7 linked regions of the Rattus norvegicus genome follow. The protein of the gene in region 1 purifies or fractionates together with the protein of each later gene. This does not show direct contact. Links are inferred from orthologs where the notes say so. Each region holds a gene or a part of one and is shown in the gene's direction. Other genes may lie near its edges.

Evidence for each region.
Region 2: the proteins of Plk1 (region 1) and Bora purify together in Homo sapiens (affinity purification with mass spectrometry; 12 studies listed by BioGRID and IntAct, counting the BioPlex papers as one, with this or other methods). This does not show direct contact. The link is inferred for Rattus norvegicus from reciprocal best matches to the Homo sapiens genes PLK1 and BORA.
Region 3: the proteins of Plk1 (region 1) and Mastl purify together in Homo sapiens (affinity purification with mass spectrometry; 3 studies listed by BioGRID and IntAct, with this or other methods). This does not show direct contact. The link is inferred for Rattus norvegicus from reciprocal best matches to the Homo sapiens genes PLK1 and MASTL.
Region 4: the proteins of Plk1 (region 1) and Prrc1 purify together in Homo sapiens (affinity purification with mass spectrometry; 3 studies listed by BioGRID and IntAct, counting the BioPlex papers as one, with this or other methods). This does not show direct contact. The link is inferred for Rattus norvegicus from reciprocal best matches to the Homo sapiens genes PLK1 and PRRC1.
Region 5: the proteins of Plk1 (region 1) and Mtmr4 purify together in Homo sapiens (affinity purification with mass spectrometry; 3 studies listed by BioGRID, with this or other methods). This does not show direct contact. The link is inferred for Rattus norvegicus from reciprocal best matches to the Homo sapiens genes PLK1 and MTMR4.
Region 6: the proteins of Plk1 (region 1) and Ccdc6 purify together in Homo sapiens (affinity purification with mass spectrometry; 3 studies listed by BioGRID and IntAct, with this or other methods). This does not show direct contact. The link is inferred for Rattus norvegicus from reciprocal best matches to the Homo sapiens genes PLK1 and CCDC6.
Region 7: the proteins of Plk1 (region 1) and Cdc27 purify together in Homo sapiens (affinity purification with mass spectrometry; 4 studies listed by BioGRID and IntAct, with this or other methods). This does not show direct contact. The link is inferred for Rattus norvegicus from reciprocal best matches to the Homo sapiens genes PLK1 and CDC27.

The regions. Positions count from the first base shown.
Region 1 is NC_086019.1:186,150,658-186,154,157, forward strand, and holds part of Plk1 (serine/threonine-protein kinase PLK1), read left to right. Parts: intron 1-1,126; coding exon 1,127-1,346; intron 1,347-2,457; exon of another isoform or gene 2,458-3,500. UniProt on the Homo sapiens protein: Serine/threonine-protein kinase that performs several important functions throughout M phase of the cell cycle, including the regulation of centrosome maturation and spindle assembly, the removal of cohesins from chromosome arms, the inactivation of anaphase-promoting complex/cyclosome (APC/C) inhibitors, and the regulation of mitotic exit and cytokinesis.
Region 2 is NC_086033.1:82,219,220-82,222,719, forward strand, and holds part of Bora (protein aurora borealis), read left to right. Parts: intron 1-409; coding exon 410-475; intron 476-997; coding exon 998-1,054; intron 1,055-1,549; coding exon 1,550-1,713; exon of another isoform or gene 1,714-1,781; coding exon of another isoform or gene 1,782-1,790; intron 1,791-2,291; coding exon 2,292-2,427; intron 2,428-3,500. UniProt on the Homo sapiens protein: Required for the activation of AURKA at the onset of mitosis.
Region 3 is NC_086035.1:90,158,092-90,161,321, reverse strand, and holds the end of Mastl (serine/threonine-protein kinase greatwall), read left to right. Parts: intron 1-767; coding exon 768-925; 3' UTR 926-2,730; downstream 2,731-3,230. UniProt on the Homo sapiens protein: Serine/threonine kinase that plays a key role in M phase by acting as a regulator of mitosis entry and maintenance.
Region 4 is NC_086036.1:53,024,123-53,027,622, forward strand, and holds part of Prrc1 (protein PRRC1), read left to right. Parts: intron 1-796; coding exon 797-957; intron 958-3,500. UniProt on the Homo sapiens protein: May act as a regulator of the protein kinase A (PKA) activity during embryonic development.
Region 5 is NC_086028.1:72,893,665-72,897,164, forward strand, and holds part of Mtmr4 (myotubularin-related protein 4), read left to right. Parts: intron 1-1,504; coding exon 1,505-1,594; intron 1,595-1,922; coding exon 1,923-2,039; intron 2,040-2,807; coding exon 2,808-2,890; intron 2,891-3,500. UniProt on the Homo sapiens protein: Lipid phosphatase that specifically dephosphorylates the D-3 position of phosphatidylinositol 3-phosphate and phosphatidylinositol 3,5-bisphosphate, generating phosphatidylinositol and phosphatidylinositol 5-phosphate.
Region 6 is NC_086038.1:18,447,228-18,450,727, reverse strand, and holds part of Ccdc6 (coiled-coil domain containing 6), read left to right. Parts: intron 1-2,075; coding exon 2,076-2,232; intron 2,233-3,500.
Region 7 is NC_086028.1:89,911,771-89,915,270, reverse strand, and holds part of Cdc27 (cell division cycle protein 27 homolog), read left to right. Parts: intron 1-278; coding exon 279-431; intron 432-2,183; coding exon 2,184-2,392; intron 2,393-3,500. UniProt on the Homo sapiens protein: Component of the anaphase promoting complex/cyclosome (APC/C), a cell cycle-regulated E3 ubiquitin ligase that controls progression through mitosis and the G1 phase of the cell cycle.

The DNA.
Region 1 (3,500 bases):
CTGCTCTACCTTCCAAGAGCTGAGATTACAGGCATGTGCCTGCCACCAGGCTGGCTTTCTGGTGTACTAGCAAGCACTCTACCAGAGCCCCGTGCCCAGCCCATGTCTTTAGACTTCCTGAGGGGGATGTAAAGAGCAGGGGGAGAGGGGGCAAACACTCTTACACCTGGAACACGCACCATCTCCATCCAGCTGTGCTGCGCCTAACAAAGGAGTTGGTCTTACTCTCATGAACCAGGCTCTGCGTCTGCAAAGTGGGAGTTTCCCCAAGAGCTTCCCAATGACAGAGCAGCATCCCTTTTCACATCCAGTGTCATAAATCCACTTGCAGGGATAGCTCATTTCTGGGGACTGGTTCTCATAGGCACTTTAAAGTCAGCATCCTTGACTTGTACATAGAGAAGATGTCACAGAAGGTCAGCTCACTGCAGACAGCATGGACTGCTGTGGTATAATTGGTCCTGGCTTTCTTACTGAGGCAATGTGTATTCTCAGACAGGGCACTCCTGTTTCCTCATCTATAAGTGAGGCCTAATAGTGGAGATGTACACACCTGTAGTCCTAGCACTTGGAAGGCTGAGGCAGGAGGATTGCAAGTTCCAGATAGCCTTAGCTATATAGTGAGACCCTGTTTCCTTTCTAATTATATAGAGAGGGAAAGGGAGGAGAGAATCTTTTAGGTGTTTTTGTGAGGGCCAAATGGGTACTGTACAGGAGTGCATAAGCAAGAATTAATGCTGTGAGGGACAGGCCCGTGTTAGGTTTTTTCTCATTAAGTCATCCTGGAGGGGTTCCCCATTTTATAGGTCTGCCTTGTTAGGCTTCAGAAAGCCCAGGTTATTTGTTATAGGTGGAATCAAGGGGGTGGAACTAGGCAGGTCTTGGGACCTGGGTGCCCTCTTGTAGATAACTTAATGTCCTTTGAAAGGGCAAGGGGTGGGTATCCCAGGTTAATCTTGAGTGCCAAGTGGCAAGAAATGATCCTTCTTATCAATATTGCTAAGGCTGGGTGGAGGACTTGGTGGAACTCAGGGCCACTGAGCAGTGGTATGTTATACACAGGAGCAGCCGCATGCTGGCTAGGGTCCCTGTCTCCTCTCATTTCGGCTCTGCCTCTCCATTCCAGCACATCAACCCAGTGGCTGCCTCCCTCATCCAGAAAATGCTTCAGACAGACCCCACTGCCCGCCCCACCATTCACGAGTTGCTCAATGACGAGTTCTTCACTTCCGGCTACATCCCCGCCCGTCTGCCTATTACCTGCCTCACCATCCCACCAAGGTTTTCAATAGCTCCCAGCAGCCTAGACCCCAGCAACAGGAAGCCTCTCACAGTCCTTAATAAAGGTAAGATCAGTCCGGGCAGAAGAGAGCCCAGGTTTCCGGGGTACATTTCAGGGTGTGTGTGCCTTACTGCCTCATCCCTCCCCTGGGCCCTTCTGCCCTCCGCCCTTGGCAGGAAAAACCAACTGAATCAACCTATGTAAAGAGTACCTAAGATCTCCCTTGCACAGTTTGGAGAAAGCTGGAAGTTTTCTGGTGCATACATGGAGCATGCCGTGGTACCTATCCTCAGTTCTCATTCTCAGCATGCCCAACCCTGGTCACTCCAAGCACCCTTTGTTCTCTGAGTGTTTGTGCTTTGTCAAGAAAAGGTCTTTCTGTCACCCAGGCTGCTCTTGAAATCAGTCCTCCTGTCTAGGGCCCTGCTGACTACAGAATTGCAGGTTTGTATCAGCTCATCTCACTTTGGAAAAGTCGAGACAGCCAACTCCAGGAGTCTGCCATTTTACTCTTGTACTAAAGTATGCATCTTTCCTCAAAACTCCAGCATCCCTTGCCCCTGCTTGGATAGCTTTTGTGTCTAGAGCTCTTTAGAGATCAGAGTCTTTCTGATTCATATTCTAATATTCATCATTGTCCACACTTATAAAAAGGTAGAGGGACAAATGCTCTCCCAGTCTGCTTACATTCTGTTGATGCATCATCAGCCCTATGTGTTTCTTTAACTGCTTGAGAGCGAGCTTTCCTCGAGGAAAGCGTCTGCGCGCTGTGACAGACACCAGCATCAGCTTCAGGACTGAGCATTCATCTCACAGTGCTGTAAAGGTTCTTTTTTTCTTGTTCTTTTCTCTCTTTTTGTTTTGTTTCCTTTTTTTTTCCTTTTTGGAAACAAGGCTTCACTATATAACCCAGGCTGGCCTCCAACTCAGGAGATCCACCTGCCTCTGCCTTCCAAGTGCTAAGAGCAAAGGTGTGAGTGAGCCACCTTGCCTGGCAGCAGTGTTTGCTTTTCTGTTTTTTACTGTCCCTCCCTCCTCCTCTTTTTTTGAGACAGACTATCACCATGCTGACTCGGGTTTGAAATCCCCCTGCCTTACCCTCCACAGTGCTGGGCTTGGGACTGTGCCACTGTATTCATCATCATCATCATCATCATCATCATCATCATGTAGTCTTATTTTTTTGATTTATTTATTTATTTTATGTATGTGAGTACACTGTCAGACACACCAGAAGGGGGCATCAGATCCCATTACAGATGGTTGTGAGTCACCATGTGGGTGCTGGGAATTGAACTCAGGACCCCTGGAAGAGCAGTCAGGTTCTTAACTGCTGAGCCGTCTCTCCAGCCCATGTAGTCTTATTTCTCGTTAATATATTTTATTAAGAGCTATGGTCTTTGAGAGGTAGCTTGTAGGCTTTGTTCTCTGTGGAGTTAGTTATAAAACTAGTGTTTAGTATAAAATTCTCAGTGCATCTGTTTCGGTTAGATTTCCATTTTTAGGCAAGAGGCTAGGGTGGCTTAGTTTTGTTTTTGGTGCTTTGAGACAGGTGCTGGGATTTCAAATGAGTGCTTCATACCTGACTCAATTACTTGGTTTATTTTGCAGTAATGCTAGGGTTATACAAAAGTTTAAAAGACAAAATAAAGCTAAATTCCTGTGTACCCTCCACCCAGCTTCTTCCACAGTCAGCATCTCTCTTTAAGCATAGCAGAATTACCAAAACTGAAGTGTTAGCTACAAGATAATCCTGTCAACAAAGCCCAGGCCCCACATCGATCAACCAGATTTCCCATTACATCACCAGAATACAAGTCAGTACCTCACGGGCCAGTTAGTGACCTTGGCTCCCTAGTTTCCTCCAGCCTGTGACAGTCTCTGAGTTTTTCCTTTTGTCTTGTGACCTTGATTGACACTTTTGGCACTGATGAGTTGATTTCCATTGGATTTGATGCTTCCTCAGGATTGCACTGAGGTTCTGCATTCTGAGCAAGAATGCTGTGAAGGGTTTGCTCTTTTCAGTGTCAGGGAGACAAGGCTGTCTCTGCTGCAGACACTGTTGCCTTGGTAACTAATAAGAATCTTGCAGGAAGGTGTTTGAAACTGTAGGAGTTCATCTAATTGTTGCCCACCGGTTTTAGTGGTAGCCATTACTGTAATTTTTATTTTTTTCCCTTTTTGAGACAGCGTTTCATGTGGCCCAAGCTGCTTGGAT
Region 2 (3,500 bases), on another chromosome or scaffold:
GAGTTTTATTCATCACAGTTCAGGGTTTCTTCTTTTTGTCAAAATAATCTAATATTTTAATTGAGTTTCTCTAAATCCATTTTAGGAAAATTAAATGGCACAGATTTTATGAGATATATTGGCCTTATGTGCTCATTCAGCAATGTATATATGTATCAAAACATTAATTTTGTACCAAAACCACATATAATTATCTGTCATGAAAACTAGTAATTACATGATACCTTCTTATTGGTGTGGTAACCTTTTATTTTTCTTTGTTAAGTAACCCAACAGAAACATACCAAAATTATAAGTTTAAGTATTTATCCTTAAAATATGAAAAACTGATATATAGCGTTTTATTCTAGAAAATGTAACACTGAATTAAATATAAAATTATGATTTTTCTAATTAAAATATTTTGCAGGCCTAACTAGCAATGGTGACTCTCCTGTTGGGAAAAAGCCGAGTCTCCCTTCTCAGAAATGCAATGGTGGGTATGAGCGGTGTCTGGAAAGGAGCGTGTTGCATAGTAAGCTGCATTAATATAAACAGAGTTCGAATCGTACCGTTCATTTCAAATTAGGACATTGTTTTGTGATTGAGCTGTAAAAGAACTGACTTTTAAAAACCGATATGTTGAACAGATTGTATTCAGCCACGCTTTAGAAAAATAGCAATCATGTGTTGCTTTCTTATGTAAAATATGTGAATTGTGAATTGATTTCTGGTTTGGGAAAGATTTAAAGAAAATGTAGATGATGTGTTCATATGAGAATCCTAGTGTCTGCTGGTGTCTTGTTCAGTTCCAGGTCAGTCTCAGACCGGGCTGACTAATGCCGTTAGCTCCGATCAGGAAGCTGTGGGAAATGAAGCAGAAGGTGGTGGGGCAGGAGTAGAGCGCACCAGCAGTCTGGCTCTCCTCCGAGCCTGCTGAGGAGAAGGCTGGTTGGCGGGCTATGCGCCACACATACCCTGGCCCTCACACACTTCCAATGTCTTTGCTTCTTTTCAGCTGCCTGCCAGACTCTGTTGTCTCTTCCTGTGGATTTTAATTTGGAAGCCGTATTAGGTAAATGCTGTATGACTTGAGTATTTCATAACTAGGTCAGAGGTTTTCATTTTGTTGGCTTTTTGTGAATGGGGGTCTTGTCATTAAACAGGAAACTGTCCTAAAGTTTTTCTGTTTCTTGAATGTGACCTGAGTTGGTGTTTTTATTATGGTGACCTTTACTGTGGGCAGCAAATGATAAACATTTAAATGGTGCTGGTACAACACTGATAACAAGTCGGGCATGGTGGCACACTCCTGGCAGTCAGCAGGCTGAGACAGGTGGATTGCTACAAGTTCAAGACCAGACTGGGTTCCATAGTAAGGCCCTGACTCAAAACAATAAAAACAGCAAATAAAGAATGAAACACTCAAAAAATAAATATCATTTTAAGCATTATTCACATGTATTGAAAAAAATTCAAACCTGTTTTATGACTTTTTTAAAAATGAGTTGCTGTAAGTGTGGTTTCTTCTTCCAATGACCAGCTTTCCTTCTGTTATTGGTGAATATAGGAGACTACTTTAGAGCGGATGACTCTGTGGACCAATCTCCCGGGAACCTCAGTTCTTCGTCTCTCAGGAGAAAGCTCTTTTTAGACGTGAATGGGAGCATCTCCGACTCCTTACCTTCAGCTTCTCCCAGAAGTCCTCCCAACAGTGCCCGAGGATCTCTTGAGGTGTTTTCTCCAATGGATTTGTCTCCTTTGCACTCTAGCAACCCTGTGCAGACACCGTGTGCCATAAGATGTGGCTGGTTAGTGTGTCATAGATGTGCTTCGAGTGAATACTCAAATCACATCAGGAATGTTCCCCTTGGCATTACGTATCCTGGGAATCTTCTCAGTTTGTATGTGTGATCCCAGCAGACTCCAGCTCTGTATTTAGAGGTAGATAGGTGAGCAAATTATCTCAAAGAATCGCAGCCTGGGTTACTTACTGAATTAACAAGAGAGTAGCCGTATGACAACTGGATTAGCATTGATGGAGTAAATTAGAGGTATTTTCATAGACAACTACTTGCTATGAAATGCAGTGAATGACTTGTTTAAACCCAACTCATTTGTGTTGAAATCTTATTTCAAGAATTCTTTAGCAGCCCCATGGTGCCTTTTGTTGTTGGTTTTTGTGGACTCCGAGTTTATAAACATGTTGTGAAGACGACAAAGAACATGCCGCATAACCACGACAAAGAAATTAAATATATTCACCAATTGCTGGCTTGATTTTTATTTTTTAATTTTATTTTGTATCACAGGGACAGTTTTCTTCCAGCCCCATTCAGAACAATGCAAAAAAGTACAGTTTGGGAAGCTTAACCACCAGCCCATCGGCTATCTGTTCACCTACGTTCTCACCAATTGCACTTCAAGTAGGAAAGACACCACTGTCAGGTACTTCTCGGAATAATACACAGCTCCAATTGTGCTGCCGGCTTTTGTTGTTTAAAAAGGCTCTTTTAACAGTTACAAATGAACACTTTGCTATTCACTTGTAGAAACATTTTTTAAACAAAAGGAACAGTGTAAATCAAATGTAGGAGCTTATGCTCTACATCCTAGTACTTGGGAGGTAGAGGCAGGAGGATCATGAATTCAAGCACTGAGCTACCTAGTAAGGCTGTTGTGGTTGAGTAAGAATGGCCCTCATTGGCTCATATATTTGAATGCATAGTCATAGGGAGTGGGGTTCTTTGAATGAACCAGGATTAGGAGTTGTGGTCTTGATGGAGGTTCAAAAGCCTGTGCCAGGCCTAGTCTCTCTCCCAGGCCTGCTGATCAGGTGAACTGCTTCCTCACCATTCGCACCACCATGATGGTAACAGACTAACCCCCTGAAACTGTAAGCAGGCCCTAACAGAATGTTTTCTTCTGTAAGAGTTGCTATTACCTTGGTGTTTCTTAATAGCAGTAGAACTATGACTTAAGACAAAGACTCTGTCTCAGAAAAAAAAAAGGGATGTGCCTGAGGAACAGGGAGTCTGGTGTATTGTCCTAGAACCAACATCCATGAAGTCTCACCATCATGACTGCCTAAACATGTCCTAAACAGGGACAGCACCAATAGACATGCTAATGTGGTGAGCCCTAAAACCATTTGTATGTATGCATGCATGTATGCATGTATGTATGTAACGTAGACTGAACAGGTTATACTTACATATTTAGGAACACGCATGGATACAACACAAAACGAAGCTGTGAATTTGGAGGAAGCAGTGCTGTATAGGAGTGTTTATCAAAAGTACTGAGAAGGGGAAATTATGTTATTACAATATCAAAAACTAAAAAATGTTACATAAAATAGAATAGAATGTCAGGTTCCTCATACATATAGAACCACTCTTGACTTTATAAACAGTCAAAAAATGCCATATTTTTAAAAAGACTGGTGATGTATTTCAGTGTAGAATATGCTATATGTTGTCTATGCTGTTTGATGTGTATGTTCCATCCCTAGCACTACG
Region 3 (3,230 bases), on another chromosome or scaffold:
TTCTAGATCTATCCATAGTGCTAGCTACTAAATTCTAAAGATGTAGTCAGTGGAGTCAGGTAAGTCAGAGACAATGGAGAGAATGTGTAGGAATGTCATCCAAGACCAGAACCAAGCGATACATGCTGATACATGAATGCCTGTGAATCCAGCACTTGAGAGGCTAAGGAAGAAGACTGTAAAAACATTCAGCTGGAGCTATACAGTGATTTCCAGGTCAACTTGAGCTGTAGTGTAAAAACTCTACAAACACATAAACAAAAAGACAGTAAGCAAAAGGGCAGTAAGTTAAATATACAGCAAATCATCATGTGTGGAATGTGCATACACAAAGGTGAAGTATAGAAAGCAAAGAGTGAAAGATGAACTTCATCCTTAAGTTGTAGGGCAATAGATGGTCTTAGAGATTGCCATGATATGACAGGTGGTTGAGAAGGTAAGTGAGAATTGAAGCATTAATTAGGAGCTCCAGAGATAGAGATCGCAAGCCAAACAATCTTCAGGTGAGGGATTGTATGACAGGATGCTGGCATCAAGAAAGATGCACTTCTACAACATCCATTCACTGACTTAACATACAATCCAGGCAACTATAATACACCAGACACTGCAAAATGACACAGTATAAAGCATGTAGCCTACTAGGGAGACACATTAAAAAGGTATTACTGAGAGTGCCATGATAAAGTCGGATCCATCTAAGAAGCAAAGCTTAAGTAATGGTATCAGACTCTGTTTTTGTTTTTTATATGTATTTCCCTCTTTAGAACTGAAACATCATCCTCTCTTCAGTGAAGTGGACTGGGAGAATCTGCAGCATCAGACTATGCCTTTCGTGCCCCAACCAGACAACGAAACAGATACATCCTACTTTGAAGCCAGGAACAATGCTCAGCATCTGACCATATCTGGGTTCAGTCTGTAGCACATGCATGCCATTTCTATCTAACTTGTGATATAGAATTTTAACACTAGATTCATCTACACGGAATAAGTCATTATTGTACCGAGGCTAAACAGTTTTAATGAGTACAACAGCTTTTACAGAGTTAAAATACTGTAAAAAATATAAACAGTAATCTCTACCTTAGAACTGTACATAAGGCATCATGGCTTTTTTCATCTTATTTATTCACTGCACTTTATGAAGAGCAATGTCTCAATAAACTAAAACAGCACTACCACTCTAAACAGAGGGGATGAACCATAAGCTTGTATGTATCTGTTGATGTTAGTTCTGTTCACTTTGGTGTTTATTTGCACATGGTTACATCCTAAGCTGTTCTCGGGGCTGTCATATGAGACAAACATGACTGAAAATCGTTTGACCCAGACATCGTGGTGGAAGTTCCCATATTCAAGAGCAGATGTAACACAGGATTATGACTGCAATTTGAAGACTCAGGCCAGCCAGGACTGTATTTCTCATCAGTATGTCTCTGCTGAGGGTGAACTAGTCAAAAGAATTAAGGTTCTAACTCATCTTACTTATGATGGAATCTCACTGCCTTGAATGCTCTTGGTGCTTCCCTCTACAATTCCTGCTTGTTTAAACGGGTAGTGGAAAGGCTGGGTGTGATACTTTAAGTGATTTTAATAGCTTCTTCACTTTTAATAGAAAAATTTATACTTTACATCAGATCCTTTCAAACACTGCGAGAGACAAATAGTAACAATTATAATTACTTGTAACTGTAACTAGTGACTTCAGTATTGGTCTTTTCAAGTATGTACTAAGACTCAGGTCAAAAGTCTTATCTCAAACTAATTGAGGCTTTTGATATTTCCCTAGAAGAGCAAAATTAAGACGTACGTGTACCATAGGGAAGGTTTTTGCTAATGCCTGCTTGCATACTGACTTTAGTGCTTCCACTGCCACCCAGTCACAGCCCAGATAGAATACAGTTTGCAAAGATGCATAATCAGTGCTGGGTATAGAGTCCTTACTGTACTTATTTTAGTAAAGACTACTTAGTGTTCCAGTTACCTTTTTTACTAAAAATATTCAAATATATTTACAGCTTCCTTTACTAAGACTCACTTTCAGGTGACAGCATAATTCTACAGTCTGTTTACTCTATCATCCTCTTAGAGTGTTTTCAAGATTAGAAAGAAACCTTTAGAATCAAAAAAATACCTAAATGACTGCTACTAAACTGAAATGATGTGGGCAGGTTAAAAGTGAGCATGAAGATGCTGGAGGGAGCAAATGCTTAGTGTGCCAAGGACCCCGTGTTCAATCCCCACCATACACAAACAGTAATTGAGGAATTAGGATAAGCAGAGCCACATTAATAAACCTGAGGTTCACAAGTCATGGCTTACCAGAGCACTGGACCCCAGCTATGGGTATTGTTAAAAGTGAGTCTGCAGAAGCAAGCCCCTAGTGGCTTCTTAAATTAAATCATTGGACAATTGGTTATAGTAAAATTAAATTCTGCTGTGGATCCTTGAGAGTTCCTGGCTTGCCTGGGTGGGGCCACATGAATATATCACTGGAATAGGAAAGTCTGTAAATGGATGGCTGAATAAACAGGGAAACATATGTAAGTATGCAGAAGAGAAGGATGGGAAGACACTATAGTTTTTGTAAAATGCTTTTTTCTACTTTCCCTGTTTTCACAGAGTGAATCATAAACACTTTGCACATTTATGTTTCATTTTCTTTTACTTGTATGTACAGAATATGATTTTAAAAAATTATTTCTCCTTTCAAGATTATTTAACCTATGTTCTAGCAGTGTTGTTTCTTTTATTGTGTGACTGAGTGAGAATGGCTCCCATAGACTCACATTTGAATACTTGGTCCCTGTTTGATGGAACTGTTTGGGAGGGATTAGGTGTGTCACTGGAGGTGAGCACTCAAGTTTCAAAAGGCTCAAGTCACTCTCAGCATGCTCTTTTAGTTTTTCAAGAAGGGTTTCTTTGTGTAGCTCTGCTTCTCCTATAGACCAGATTGGCCTCAAACTCAGAGATCTGCCTGCCTCTGAGTCTAGAGTGCTGCAAATAATATTGTGCACCATCCCTGCCTGACAAGTTTTTGTTTGTTTTTTAATGTGCAATGTGTTAGGTATTATGCCTGGATGTGTATATTTGTGAAGGTGTCAAAACTCCTGAAGCTGGATACAGACAATCGTGAGCTGCCTTGTGGATGCTATTAATTGAACCCAGGTCCTCTGGAGGAATAATAGCCAGTGCTCTTAACCACTGAGACATCTCAATAGCCCCTA
Region 4 (3,500 bases), on another chromosome or scaffold:
GAGGAGTAATTTAGCTTTGATTATTTAGTATCCAATTTGGCTTATCTGCCTTTACAGATAAAATGTATTCTGGAGCATAAGAATTATGTGGTTATCTCTCTGTGTGTGTGTGTGTGTGTGTGTGTGTGTGTGTGTGTGTGTGTATGTGTGTGTGTATGCACGCGCCTGAGTATATGTATGGCCACCTTATGCATACAGATGCCTTCAGAGGCCAGAAAAGCTGTTGGATCTTCTGCAGTTGGAGTTACAGATGGTTGTGAAGCCATCTAGTGTGGGTGCAGGAGCAGCCAGTGCTATTAGCTGAGAACCCTCTCTCTAGCCCCAACGGGTATTTTCTTTCGGGAGTGTATGGATTATATATACACAGTATACATACATACATACATACATACATACATACATACATACATATGTATGATTATTATTATTTTTTAAGAGGGACTTGAGTGCTCAATTCAATTCTTTGTTTGGATTAAGGAGAGTAGAAATACACCAGTCATCTAAATGTTGAATAGGCACTCACACACACACACACACACACACCCCCTATATGTGTGTATATGTGTGCTTAGATTTGTTGTTTTTTAGGATGCTCTGTAAACCTATGTAAAAGGGGAAACACCTTTTAAGGGGTTTTTTACATTTATTTTTATAAAACTTTCAGTTAATAACCTCCTTTTAGGTGCTTACGTGATTCTATTATTGAATTCGGTTTGAGATTCTCGCATGCTGCATCTTTTTATAGGAAAACATTTGTGGAATAAATTACACAACTAAATTTTTTGCCATTGACTAGGTATTTTGCCAGCCCCCATTACTCAGCAAGCCAGTATGACATCGCTGGCACAGGGACCTGGAACCACATCAGCCATTACTTTCCCAGAGGAGCAAGAAGATCCTAGAATTAGCAGAGGCCAGGATGACGCACCTGCTGGAGGGATCTGGGGTTTTATTAAGGTAAGGGTGCTTGCTTTTCAAGCTGCTGTGCAAACGGTAGAGAGACTTCTGAGAACACAGAATAGAGCAAGGGGAAGAAGCCCTTTATGGCCGGATTCTGTAGTTCCTCTTGTCGTTTGTCTGTGTTTGTACATTTGTCTCTGTGTGTCCGTTTGTCTGTGCATGTCTGTATACATGTACTTATTCTCTTACTAAGACTCCAGTTGGATTAGGGACATGGTCATTGTATTCCTTGTCTTAATGAAGTTCTTCTTTGAATTAATGAAGACTAGAAGACTTTATTAATGTCTTCCAAGCTGTAAAATTGTCTGACTGACTGACTGACTGACTTTGTTTCTTGAGCGTTCAGAGTCTGCTTATGTTTGAGTGGGGTGCATTCGTGCAGGTGTATGTGTGTGCGTGTGAATGAATGTGGAGGCCAACTGAAGGGTCTTCCTCTGTTCCTCACGTTATTTTTGGTTCAGGGTCTGTCGTTCAATTTGGAATTTGTCAGTCAGCGAGGCTGGCTTGCCAGTGAGCTGCAAGGTGCCCTCATGTGTATCCCACTCAAGTGCCAGGGCTTGAGACCTGTGCTGCAGTGCTCTGCCTTTTATCTGGGTGCTGTTGATCTGAGCCCAGGTCCTCGTGCTTCAGTGAGGTTTACCATTGAATCAGCCCCCCAGCGCTAACAGTCGTTCGTTAGAATATAGTTTCTTCATAACTACTTTTGTAGCTATTGCATTTGTCATGTTTTATTTTACAAATCTGTTATCAGTATCATCCGGTTATAAGTTTTAAAATCACTTTAATGAGAAAAATGTGTAAACATTCCATATTTTTTATTGTTTTTGGTGGTATTGAGGATTGGACCCAGAGCCTTATATACACTGATAAACACTTTATTTCTCAGCCTGAGCCCTGGGTCTCTACTTTGATTTTTGATAGAGTCTCATCCAGTTGCCTAGGTCAGTCTGGCATTCACTCAGTATCCCAGGCTGGCCCGAAGCTTACAGTCCTCCTCCTGCTGCCAGGCTTGTGACAGGGATCACAGGCCTGCATCATCAGCCTGGCTAACACGATGTCTCCATTGGACTCTGTAATGATCCCTTAGGATTTTAATCCTGAGACATAAACTGATGAGCACTGTCGTGCGTACGCCTGGACGGGCTTCACTGGCATCACGAGTTCCTGATGAACGTCCAGTGTGTGCCCTCGAACTTCCTGTTGCTTCCCAGTGGCCACACTACCCTGTGGGGTTCTGCATTCTCCACTTCCTGGTGTAGCAAAGGATGTTAGTGTGAAGTACAATGTTTATTTTCCTGATTTAATAGACGAAATCATTTGAAACTGTGTGTGTGTGTGTGTGTGTGTGTGTGTGTGTGTGTGACAGAGAGAGAGAGAGAGAGAGACAGAGACACAGAGAGACACAGAGAGACCCACAGAGACACAGAGAGAGACACAGAGAGACCCACAGAGACACAGAGAGAGACACAGAGAGAGACACAGAGAGAGACAGAGAACACACATACATACGTGTATTGCACGTGTGTGGAGGCCTAGGGTTGACACAGAGTATCTTCTGTGACTGGTCTCCACCTAGTACTGAAGTCAGGTTTGCTGCACCCGAGCTTTGGTTGGGACCAATCTGGCTGGTCAGCTTGCCCTGCCTCTCCCTCCTGGGCCTTGGGATTGCATGTGGCCACCACACCCACTCAGTTTTTATGTGGGTTCTGGGGATCCCAGCTCTGGTCCTCATATGTGTGATGCAAGGACTTTAGCTGACAAGCCAGCCCCTAACCTTGAAGCCATATTTTAATTTTTGCTTCTTAGCTATTAAATTTGGTCCCTCCGTGAAATTTTGTTTTATGTGGTCTGTGTTTATCTTTGCTCAGTTTAAAGTTGGGAGGAAGATTTGCTTTTCTGGCTTTGTTACGAGCTCTGACTGAAGCAGTACTCTTTTATGATAGACACAGTATAACTTTTTCCATTTAAATCTACATTTTGATTTTATTATACTTTTTCAACACACAAGTTCTTAAATGTTCAGAAGCCATTTCTGTGAATCTCTTTCAGTTCTACATGCTGAAAGACAGCATTTTCATGCTGAAAGACGACGTTTTCATTCCATCTATTGCTGCGACAAAACACTATGACCAAAAATCAATTGGGGGGGGGTGTTATTTGGCTTATACTTCCAGATCACAGTCCATTAATGGAGGAAGTCGAGATAGGAACTCAAACAGGGATGGAACCTGGAGGCAGGAGCTGATACAGAGGAGTGCTGCTTACTGGCCTGCTCATCTTGTCTTGCTCAGTCTGGTTTCTTACAGAAACCAGGACCAGCAGCCCTGGGATTGCGCCACCTACTATGGGCTGGGCCCTCCTCCACTAATTGGGAAAATGCCTTACAGTTGGATCTCATGGAGGCATTTCCTTAACTGATGCTCCTTCCTCTCTGATGACTCTAGCTTGTCTTAAGTTGACACACAAAACCTGAGGGAGAATGGTTCCTTTTTAGCTGTGGCCACTGGTAAGTTTCCTGTGCTCTGGCGGATGTCCACATC
Region 5 (3,500 bases), on another chromosome or scaffold:
GGTGCTCGCTTCTGGCCGCAGCTGCATCAGGCGGGCCCCGCAGCCGGGATGCAGCGGGCGTCCGGGGCTGGCGGGCAGCGCAGCGGCTCCCGGGACATGTGCGCTGGTCCAGACAGCCCGCGACCATGAGCCTGACCGCCCGCGTCTCCTGCTCCATGCTTAGCTGCTTCGTAAGTGCCAGGCCTGTCCTGCCAGGGCCTGGGGCGGGGGTTGGGGGAGCACCCAACGCACGCTGTACCCACAGTCCTGCCCAAAGACCCCGGCATGACCCCAAACCTTAGGGACAGGGGAAGTGGGTTAGCTCTTTTCTCTGACTTGCTTCAAGAAAGCGGGTACTGGGGATGCAAATTCTGTGATTCTTTCTGACTCTGCAGTCACTGCCCTTGACTGCAGATTTCCAGGCCCCGCCCTGCAGGGGTACATCCCATTACCTCCTCCTCTCCATCTTGGTCCCACCCGCCATATCCTTGCTTGGGGATGTAGGATGTGCCTAGTAGGCTGTGTGGGATGTTATGGGGCTGAAAGAGAAGCTTAGATGTTTGTGAGCTGTCTCTAGGTCTCCAGTCCCCTCTCCCACACATACTCCATCGTTCACCTGACATACCAGTCTTTTCTCCTTGACTGTCCCCCAGACAGCCTCTTTTCTCCATCTTCCTTGCCTCTGCAGGGTTCTGTATCTCTGAATCATCCCCAGTCTTCCCCTCCTCCCCCTGGCTAATGCTCCTTCCCAGCTTCCCCCATCTGTCCTCTCAGATGTCGTGCCCCCCCCTCCCCCGTAGGTGTCTGCCAGGCCTTCTCTCTCCCCTGGCTGTCCTTGGGTCTCCTGCTTCCTCCCTGAGCATGGATTCTCTCTTTTCTTCTCTCTTGGTGTTTGGGAGCAGAGTGACTTCAGCTAGCTATGGGTATTCCTTAGGAATTCCCCTCAGATCAGCAGGCGGGGCAGGTTGCTTGACAGGTAGTGGGGGCTTATCAGCATCGAGAGCCCAATGGGAAGATCAGCTCAGCTCCAAAACACGTCTTCCTTTTTGAAGGCATTCACAAAGGCCCTCTAGAGGCATGGGACCGAATCCCCCCAACCTCCTCCTCTTTGTCTCCACCCACCAGGTTGATGCTCGAGAGGCTAGAAGGGCCTGATTTCCTTTCTCTCTATCCAGCTACCACAGCTGGCTCCTGTGCCTCAGGTGTCTCTTTCCCAGTCCTGCTCTTGTCTTATTCTGATAGGAGTCTTTCTTAGTTCCCTTCCTTCCTTGGGTTTTTGCAGTTTTGGTTCAAAGGAGAAGTCTCTTTAAATGGAGCAAATTCTCAGTTCCTTCTTGGCTTAGCTCACTTTTCCCTGAGTACCACTTTATTTCACCCTTTCTCCTGCCAAGCCAGGTCTTCCTTCCCTCCTCTAGGAGCCAGAATCGTTAAACACAAAGGAAGGTGTTGGTGGGTTTGTTGGTAGAGGAGGAGAGTGAGAGGAGCCAGGTCGGGTGGCAAACTCAAGGTTATGGCCTCCCTGCAGGGTGAGGAGGGCCCCCCCAGCCTGGAGTACATCCAAGCCAAGGATCTGTTCCCCCCCAAGGAACTGGTGAAGGAGGAGGAAAATCTTCAGGTAAGGAGGAACAGGATGCTCATGGTGGGAGGGGCTTCCTGCCCAGTTTGTGTTCCAGACTTTCAAATCTTTAGAGGATATACCAGAGCCCCGGCTTCCTCCTGGGCCTCTGAAGGGAGTGGGCTCCTGTGTTCGTCAGTCTGTGCATTATGTGCCTTTGGCCTTAGGGAAGGGGAGAGGCAGTTTTCCTGGACAGCAGATGACCAGCGTCCTGACTTGACTCCTGCATCATCTCCCTTTTCCTCAGGGTCTGCTAAAGAACAGGGCTGCAGAGAAAAACAAGGGAGAGACTGTCTTGTGGGCTGAGGGCTTCTCTGACCTTTTTCAGGTACCCTTCACAGTGCTACAGGGTGAGGGAGTGGAATTCCTGGGCCGGGCAGCTGATGCCCTCATTGCAATCTCCAACTACCGGCTGCATATCAAGTTCAAAGACTCTGTCATCAACGTAAGTTCTTGTCTTATTTTCCTCACACCAAAGTCAAAGTCCTCATGTACTTCAAAGTGGTATTGTTCCAGTGCTTGACCAGATTATGACTTGAAAAATAGTTGGGATTCCCTTCCCATTGGCCTCGGTATTTCTTATCTCATTCCTCTGTGTACAGGTTTACCTGTCTCTTAGGACAGGGTTTCTCTGTGTAGCCTTGGTTGTCCTGGCACTCCCCCCTGTAGACCAGGCTGGCCTCAAACTCAGAGATTTACCTACCTCTGTCTCCCCAGTGCTGGAACTAAAGGTGTGTGAACCCCTGCCTAGCTTGTTTATTCTGATTGTATGTTTGTTAGTGTCTATCTGTCTGTCTGTCTATGTACCATATTCGTGCCTTTGCCTGAGGAGACCAGATGACTAAACTGAAGTTACAAGAGGTTGTGACAAGCATGTGGGTGCTGGGAACTAAACCTAGATCCTCTGCAAGAGCAGCCAGTGCTCCTAACCTTTGAGCCACAGTGGCATTATCTATTAGAAGAGCCAGGCAGATGTGACCCTTTTTCTTGCACTGTCACTCTGTGTTACCTTGGACAAGTGATGATGTCCTCCTTATTGAATAAAATCTCCTGCCTTCAGGATTCTTATGGTATTAACTGGTGACATGGGAAGCACCCGGTAGGGTCACCATGCCCTAGCAGACCCTCAGTAGATGCTGGCTTCCTTCCCTTCATTGGCTCGACACCTCTCAGGCTGGGGGCCCCTGGACCTCACTTTGCTCTTCCTCTGCAGGTGCCCCTCCGTATGATTGACAGTGTGGAAAGCCGTGATATGTTTCAGTTGCACATTGCCTGCAAGGACTCTAAAGTGGTGAGGTGAGCACGGGGGGGCCTTGTTCTTGTTCTCTGACTCTCATCTTGTGCAGACCTCTCTGCTGTAGGGTACCCTTGGAGTAAGAGGACCAACTCCACTTTCCGTTCCCTATTGGGGGAAAAGTGACATCTCACTTCTCTGTTCTTAGTCGGGAGGTCACTTTGCTAACCCATTTTGACTTGAACTAAAATGGGGATGGAGCCATTGTGAGGACTACTTGAGGTAATGAGTATGAGCCCCTGGGTTAGTGTTAAGCACAGTGCTCTCACGTAAGTTATGTCAGTTTATTGAGCAATTTGCACCACAGTTTATGTACTGCAGCTCCATCCAAGAACTCACAGACAAAAACTCCTGCCCTAAAGGAGCCTATACTCCAGCGGGGAGGCTCTGCAGTAAATACGGGAAATACTTTAAATGATAAGTGTAAAATTCAAAGTAAAATCAAGAAAAGTTTTAGCAGGTTCTAGCTTTAACCAGCTGACTGGAGATAAAGGGTGACTGGACTAGCTTTAACCAGCTGACTGGAGATAAAGGGTGGCTGGAGTCAGGATCTGAGGAACGTGACCAAGCTGGTATCTGAGGGAAAGGTGTGCTGAAGGGCTATGAGGAGTG
Region 6 (3,500 bases), on another chromosome or scaffold:
ACACCCGGATAAATTCTTTTCGCTGCTACTTCATAACTGTAAGTTTGCTACTGTTGTGAATCTTAGCGGAAACACATGTTTTCTGACAGTCTTCAATGACCCTGTGAAAGGATCATTCAACCCCTAAAGAGGTCTCTACCTATAGGTTGAGGAAGCTGTGTTAATGATTCGTCCTGTCGTCCGTGGGTCTCCAGCTTCATGTCTCAGGTGGCCTGCTCCTCTACGGGTGTATCTGTGACAGCTCCTCAGCCTCCAGCCCCGACTGGAACCTCTTAGGAGTTCCCTGTTGAGCTTTTCAGTCGGCCGTGGGTCTCAGTCCCCATGTGGTCTGTACCTGGGAAGAGGATAGGGAACAGCCTGCTTGTGAGAGGTCACCTGAAGCTGGTTTGATGCCACCCTTACGGATGGCACCTTTGCTTAAATTTCGGGAGGTAGCAGAATATAAGAGTGATGAGATCTCTGAGGAGCTGTTAGAGAGAAGGGTCACAGTGTACCAGCAGAGGGCGCCCAAGGGAGGCCTTGGTGCCAGCCTCCTATGCTTGGGTCGGGACACTGTAGGTGCACTGGGGTTCTGGTGTATCTGGGTTAGAGTGATACGTTGACAGTTCTACCTGGCCTGACATCTTATCCGGAAGTTATCATAGCTGATGATGTATTTTTGTTACAGTGTATCTTTGTTGGAGACAGGGTCTCACAGGTGCTGGGAACATAGGCAGGTGTCCCATGTGCAGTTTGAACTGCAGTTTTCTCTGAAAATACAATGCGGAGCCTTTGGGATCTTCGGTTCTGGGGACTCTTGCTGTAGCCGCTGACTGGTCAACAGTAGGTATGCCCAGAGCCACCGGGTGCTTCCTCCTGAGCCCGATGAGCACCCATGCACACAGGCACACTTGGGGAGACTTAATTTAAGCTGTTCATATTAAAAGCGAGCTTTGTGTGCATCCCCACCCCCGTCGCTTCAATTAAGAAGACCTTGCATGTGGATTAGGCAGCGCGGTCTCAGGCTGCATTCAACCCAGCCAAGAGGTTTAGTATTTCGTCTACATAGTAGGGTCCGATAATCCGAGCATTTTAATTTCCAAAACAGAGTTCGGGTTGAAGAGACAGTCCAGTGGTTAAGTCTATTTCAGTGCTCACACGGAGGATCTCCCTTCAGTTCCCAACCGCTGTCCTGTCAGCTCGAAGGATCGGAAGTCCGCCTGCCTCCCTGGGCATTGTACATTAGTGTCAATGTCATCAGAAGTCATTGGGCAGGCAGGATGGCTCAGTGAGTAGAGGCGACCTGAGTTTGATCCCCAGAGCCCAAGTGATGGAAGCCATTCCCAGAGGTTGTGTTCTCTCTCTCTCTCTCTCTCTCTCTCTCTCTCTCTCTCCCTCTCCCTCTCCCTCTCCCTCTCTCTCCCTCTCTCTCCCTCTCTCTCCCTCTCTCTCCCTCTCTCTCCCTCTCTCTCCCTCTCTCTCCCTCTCTCCCTCTCTCCCTCTCCCTCTCTCTCTCTCTCTCTCTCTCTCTCTCTCTCACACACACACACACACACACACACACACACACACACACACACACACACACGGCTTATGTACAGTCGGTGAGGGAAAGAGGTTTTGCTCACTGTGTAAAGTTCTGTTTTACAAGACTTATCCGTAACTGAGTGTATTCTGCTGACACACTGATCTCAGAGTTGCCCCGCTGTGCATGGTAGATGTGCTAATGGGGTGACAACCCCCCCCCCGTGGCCTGTTTAGAGTGGACAGGCGGCCTAGAGGGAAACCAGTGGGCAATCTATCTCCCTAACTGTTCTTGCTTTCTCTCAGCCCCCACAGTGGAGAAGGGAGTCTTACAAGGTAGTCAGTGAAACGCTCCAGCCCCGTTTCCTGTGTGGGCCCTGGAGCCCCTGTGGAGCCGCTGTCCTGTGAATGGGTGCCCTGCCCGTTAGATTATCCATAACTGAATGTAACTTATAAACCTTGATGCTCAGGCTAAATTTTAAACCTCGGTCTCACGTGGTAGGACAAGGCCACCCCAATGTGGGGTGATGACTGCGCGAAACACAGTTTAATCGCAGGCTCTGTCTTTCCAGATTCGGAGAAGATGGCCCAGTACTTGGAGGAGGAGCGGCACATGAGGGAAGAGAACCTGCGTCTGCAGCGGAAGCTCCAGAGGGAGATGGAGAGAAGGGAAGCCCTGTGTCGCCAGCTCTCCGAGAGCGAGTCCAGCTTGGAGATGGACGATGAGAGGTTTGCTCACATCCCCTGCCCCGCTCTCACCCATCCCCCACCCCCACTCTCACACACATACACCGGGGAACCCAGTGCCCTCTTGGCTTCCGGCCAGATGGCCGCCATGTATGTGGTGTATACAGTGCACTTGCAGGCATGTTAAATTAGATCTTACGCGTTCTAGAAGGGGGAAGCTTAAACATCACTCGGACTGTGAGGAACACCATGGAGTTAAAGCACTTGCTCACGGTAGGGTGTGTGCAAGATTGAATGCCCTGCTTGCCCCGGAGAGGAAGAGCTGGCCTTCGTTTTGCTTTTAAATTTTTAGCATCCACGTTTAAAGGAATGTAAGCAGAAATGCTAGAGAAATATATTTGCTGCCGACCCTATTTCTAGTAACAGGAGTAAGTAAGTTCACACACGTGGATACGGACAGCACGGGCGAGTTTTATCTGGATTTTCTCCAAGTCTGCTTTAATTGAATTGCAAATATTTCAGTGATTTTTTTTTTTTTCTGGCTTTAGGGGTTTTTGTTTTGTTTTTTAATGTTAATTCGTTTGTCACTAAACCCTGCCAAGCTTTGACAAAAAGTATTCCTTGATAATTTCAAACATGAATATATTGAATTTAGGTCATTTTTTTTTTAACCCCATGACTCTCAACTCTCTCAACCCCTCCCCCTTCTCCTCTTCAACCCCCCTCCCCTGTCTTTGTTTTAAACCCCACTGAGTTTACTGGCTCTGACCTTTGACTCAGTGTCCTGGCTATGAGACCACACTTGTACACGGGCCTTTTATATGTGCTGCATATTGTTAACTACCTGTCCATTCTGCAGCCCGCAAAGATTCTCTGCCATTCTGTGGGCTTCCTCTTCAACGGTGGTTCTGATGGTTCTCAACCTGTGGGTCGGCACCCCCATTGGGCTCTCCTATCAGGTCCCCCTGCATATCAGATACGTTACGATTCATAATAGCAAGATTGCAGTTACAAAGTAGCAACAAAGTAATTTTATGGTTGGGTTGTCACCACACCATGAGGAAGCTGTGTTAAAGGTCACAGCGTTAGGAAGGTTGAGAACCACTGGTTTGCAGCATTTGTTTCCTTTGGGTCTTTGTTTCATGCGGTGCCGCTTATCAGTTCTTGGTATGACTTCCTGAGCCATTGGAGTTTTCTTCAGAAAACAGCGCCTGTATCTTTAAGTTTCAAGCCTTCGGGCCTCACATCAAAGTCTTTGGCCCCTTTTGAGATGATCTTTGTACAATTTCCATTCTGCTCCGAGCTCAGCA
Region 7 (3,500 bases), on another chromosome or scaffold:
AGGTCCTCTGTCGGGCAGCCATTGCTCCAGCCCCATCTTTGTCTTTTTTTTTGTTTTTTTTTTTTTTTAATAGAAATTTTTTTTCAGACTTTACATCTTTATCCCTAGTTAAAATACAGGAACTAGGCTAATGCCTCAGTATTTGACCTCTCACAGTGATTTCTCTCCATACTGATTCCCATAAAGCACAGTCCTTGCAGAAATTTGGTCCTGTGACGACAATAACCTGCACTAGTCTGTCTGTCTGTACAGTTCACTCACTAGTTCTTTAATTTTAGGCTGAAAGAATATTCTCAGAAGTTAGAAGGATTGAGAGTTTCAGAGTTGAGGGTATGGAGATCTACTCTACAACACTCTGGCATCTTCAGAAAGATGTTGCTCTTTCGGTTCTTTCAAAAGATTTAACAGACATGGATAAGAATTCACCAGAGGTATGCTAACAGCAGTCTGTTTTACTCGTTTAATTTTTGGGTGCAGTGCTGGTCTGGAACCCAGCACTGTAGGTATGCTAGGCACATAATCTTTGACCCCAACATAGCTTTTGATCACCAGAACAAATATAGTCCTGTATCACGTAATGATACATTCTGGCAAGTGCATTGTTAGGTAATTTTTTGTCATTTTTGCAAAGTGTCATAAGATATAATTACAAAACAATTGAGTTATTCACTACACAGCTAGTTTGTTACTAACTCTGGACTTCATGAGGTTGTTTCAGAAAGACTCTTCTCACACATGCCAAAAAGCCATGCTTGGTGACTCTTGGTTGTCACTCAGTTCTTGGAAGGCCTGTCCAGACAGCCAAACAGAACTTCAACCTTCAAAAAATCCAACCAGATTTTGTGTGTGGGAGCACATACATGCCATAGTGAGTATATTTGGATTTTAGGAGACAACATTTGAGAGTCCATTTTTCTTTAAATAATGTGGACTCCAAGGATTCAACTCCAGGTCATCAGGCTTGGCAGCAAGCCCTCTTACCCACTGAGTCGTTTTGCTGGCCCTTAATTGCCATTTGAAGACAGACATAGATTGATTCATATGTACTAATCTTGTAGTAAGTATTTCAGGACATTTATTTGAAGGTCTTTGTTCGTCCCTGGTGTCAGGACCTTGCTGTTTTCCCTAGGCTGTTCTTTAACTTTTGAACCTCTCATTCCCACAGCCGGAATCACAGCCACTCAGATGGTTTTTAGTGATACTTTAGTGAAGTGCACGCAAACCTGGATTCAAATTGCTGTTCTCTTCTGGCCTCTGTAAACTTCACAAGTGTACAAATTCACAGGAGGACAGATTAAATACTAATATTATTAAATACTGATATTATATCATCTTTAAGAAAATTAAAAAAAAAAAAAAACATGGCCAGTAAGATAGCTTCAATAGGTGCTAGGGAGATGGCTCTGCCGGTGAAAATTTGCTGTGCACACTGGCGCCCTGAGTCCTATTTCCAGAACACATAGTGATAGGAGAAAACCAGCTCCCTGAAACCATTCTCCTAAGCCAATTGTGATGCCACATGCTTTTAATCCCACACTCAAGAGGCAAAGGCAGGCAAATAGATCTCCAAGTTCAAAGCCATCCTGGTGTCTACTAAGTGAGTTCCAGGACAGACAAGATTACACAGAGAAACTCTATCAAAGAAAAACACTCTGCTCTAACCTGCACATGTGGAATTTGTGTATGAGTAAGAGTTTTTAAAAAGAGAAAATCATAGTCAAAAATTTGAATTTCTTCAGGGTTTTGTCCTGTAAATAAAATCTGAGACTTGATTTTGTCACAGGATTGGTTTTGTTAAAAAGTAAAATAAAAATTTGGTCAGAGAAATGGCTTAATGGGTAACAATGGTTGTGCTAACATGAGAACCTGAATTTGAATCTCCAGAACCCACATAAACGCCAGGCATAGTGTGGTTAAACTGCTGGATACCAGCACCTCTACAGGGAGGAGATGGGAAGCAGAGACAGGCAAACCCTGGCAAGCTTGCAGGCAGCTAGCCTGCTGCACACCACAGACAACACAGACCCTGACTCAAACAAGCTGGAAAGCAAGGATCCACACTCACACCACACACAGTTTTTTAGGTCAAAATTAAATTAAAATTGTAAGTTACTTTTGACGATAGTTTTCTTTATAGAGCATAAAAACTTTTAACTGACTAGTTCTTGTTTCTGTTTTGTCAGGCTTGGTGTGCTGCAGGGAATTGTTTCAGTCTACAACGGGAGCATGATATAGCAATTAAATTCTTCCAAAGAGCTATCCAGGTGGATCCAAATTATGCTTATGCCTATACTCTATTAGGACATGAATTTGTGTTAACTGAAGAACTAGATAAAGCATTAGCATGTTTTCGAAATGCTATAAGAGTAAATCCCAGACATTATAATGCATGGTAAGTAAAGAGACAAAGTCTTACTAAAGATCGTTTTATTTATTTAATTTAATTTGTGTATATTGTGTCTGTATGGGCTGTGTGGGCCACAGCAAACAGTGGAGGTTAGAAGAGCATTGCAAGCCTTTTCTCCAGGCTTGGCAACGCGCACCTTTACCCAAGGAGTGGCTCTTCTTCTTTTTATGATTTTTTTTTTTTAGGTATGCCTATTGTGCTCGTATATATGTATGTATTACGTACATCACATGCAGGCCTGGTGTCTTAGTTAGGGTTACTATTGTTGTGACAAAATTCCATTACCAAAAAGCAAATACGGAAGGAAGGGTTTATTTGACTTACACTTCCATATTGCTATTACTCCTCAGAGGAAGTCAGGACAGGAACTCAGACAGAGTAGGGCCCGGAGGTAGAAGCTGATGCTTGCCTTACGTACATGAAGCCCTGGATTCTTTCTATTCTAGAAAGTAAAGTCTAAAAATTTAGAAAAGAGACCAAGAAAAGGTACTATTAGGTAATAAGAAAGGACAAAGTTTAAGCAAAAGGATACATGAGTTAGGAAGCAGATATAAGACTTGTATTTTTCAGTTTCAACCCTACTGTAAGTTTTTTGTTGTTCTGTTTTGGATTTTGTGGTAGATGTGTTAACTCTTCCTTTGTACTGATATTCATATTCGAAGAACCATTTTTACTTTCCAAATGAATCCATGTGTTATTCCTTTGAGACAGTGATGATGAAAAGTTGGTCTTTGTTTTTTTAATTTTATGAACCATTAACCCAATAGAAACTAAACATCGCTGGTCAGTGAGTAGATTGTTGCATTCACCCAGGTAGAAAAAAAAGCCAGGTGACGGTGGCACATACCTTTAGTCTCAGCCCTGAGGAGGCAGAGGCAGGCCAGGCAAATCTCTGAGTTTGAGACCGGCCTGATCTACAGAAGGAGTTACAGGACAGCCAGGGCTACACAGAGAAAACCCTGTCTTAAAAAACAAAACAAAAAATGTTCAGGAAGAAGAGTTTTTCTAACCTGCAATCCCCACCCCATTTTTTTCTTTTGTTTAAACCACCCTATATGGTGTTTTATTTAATATGTAAATTATATTGCTATAT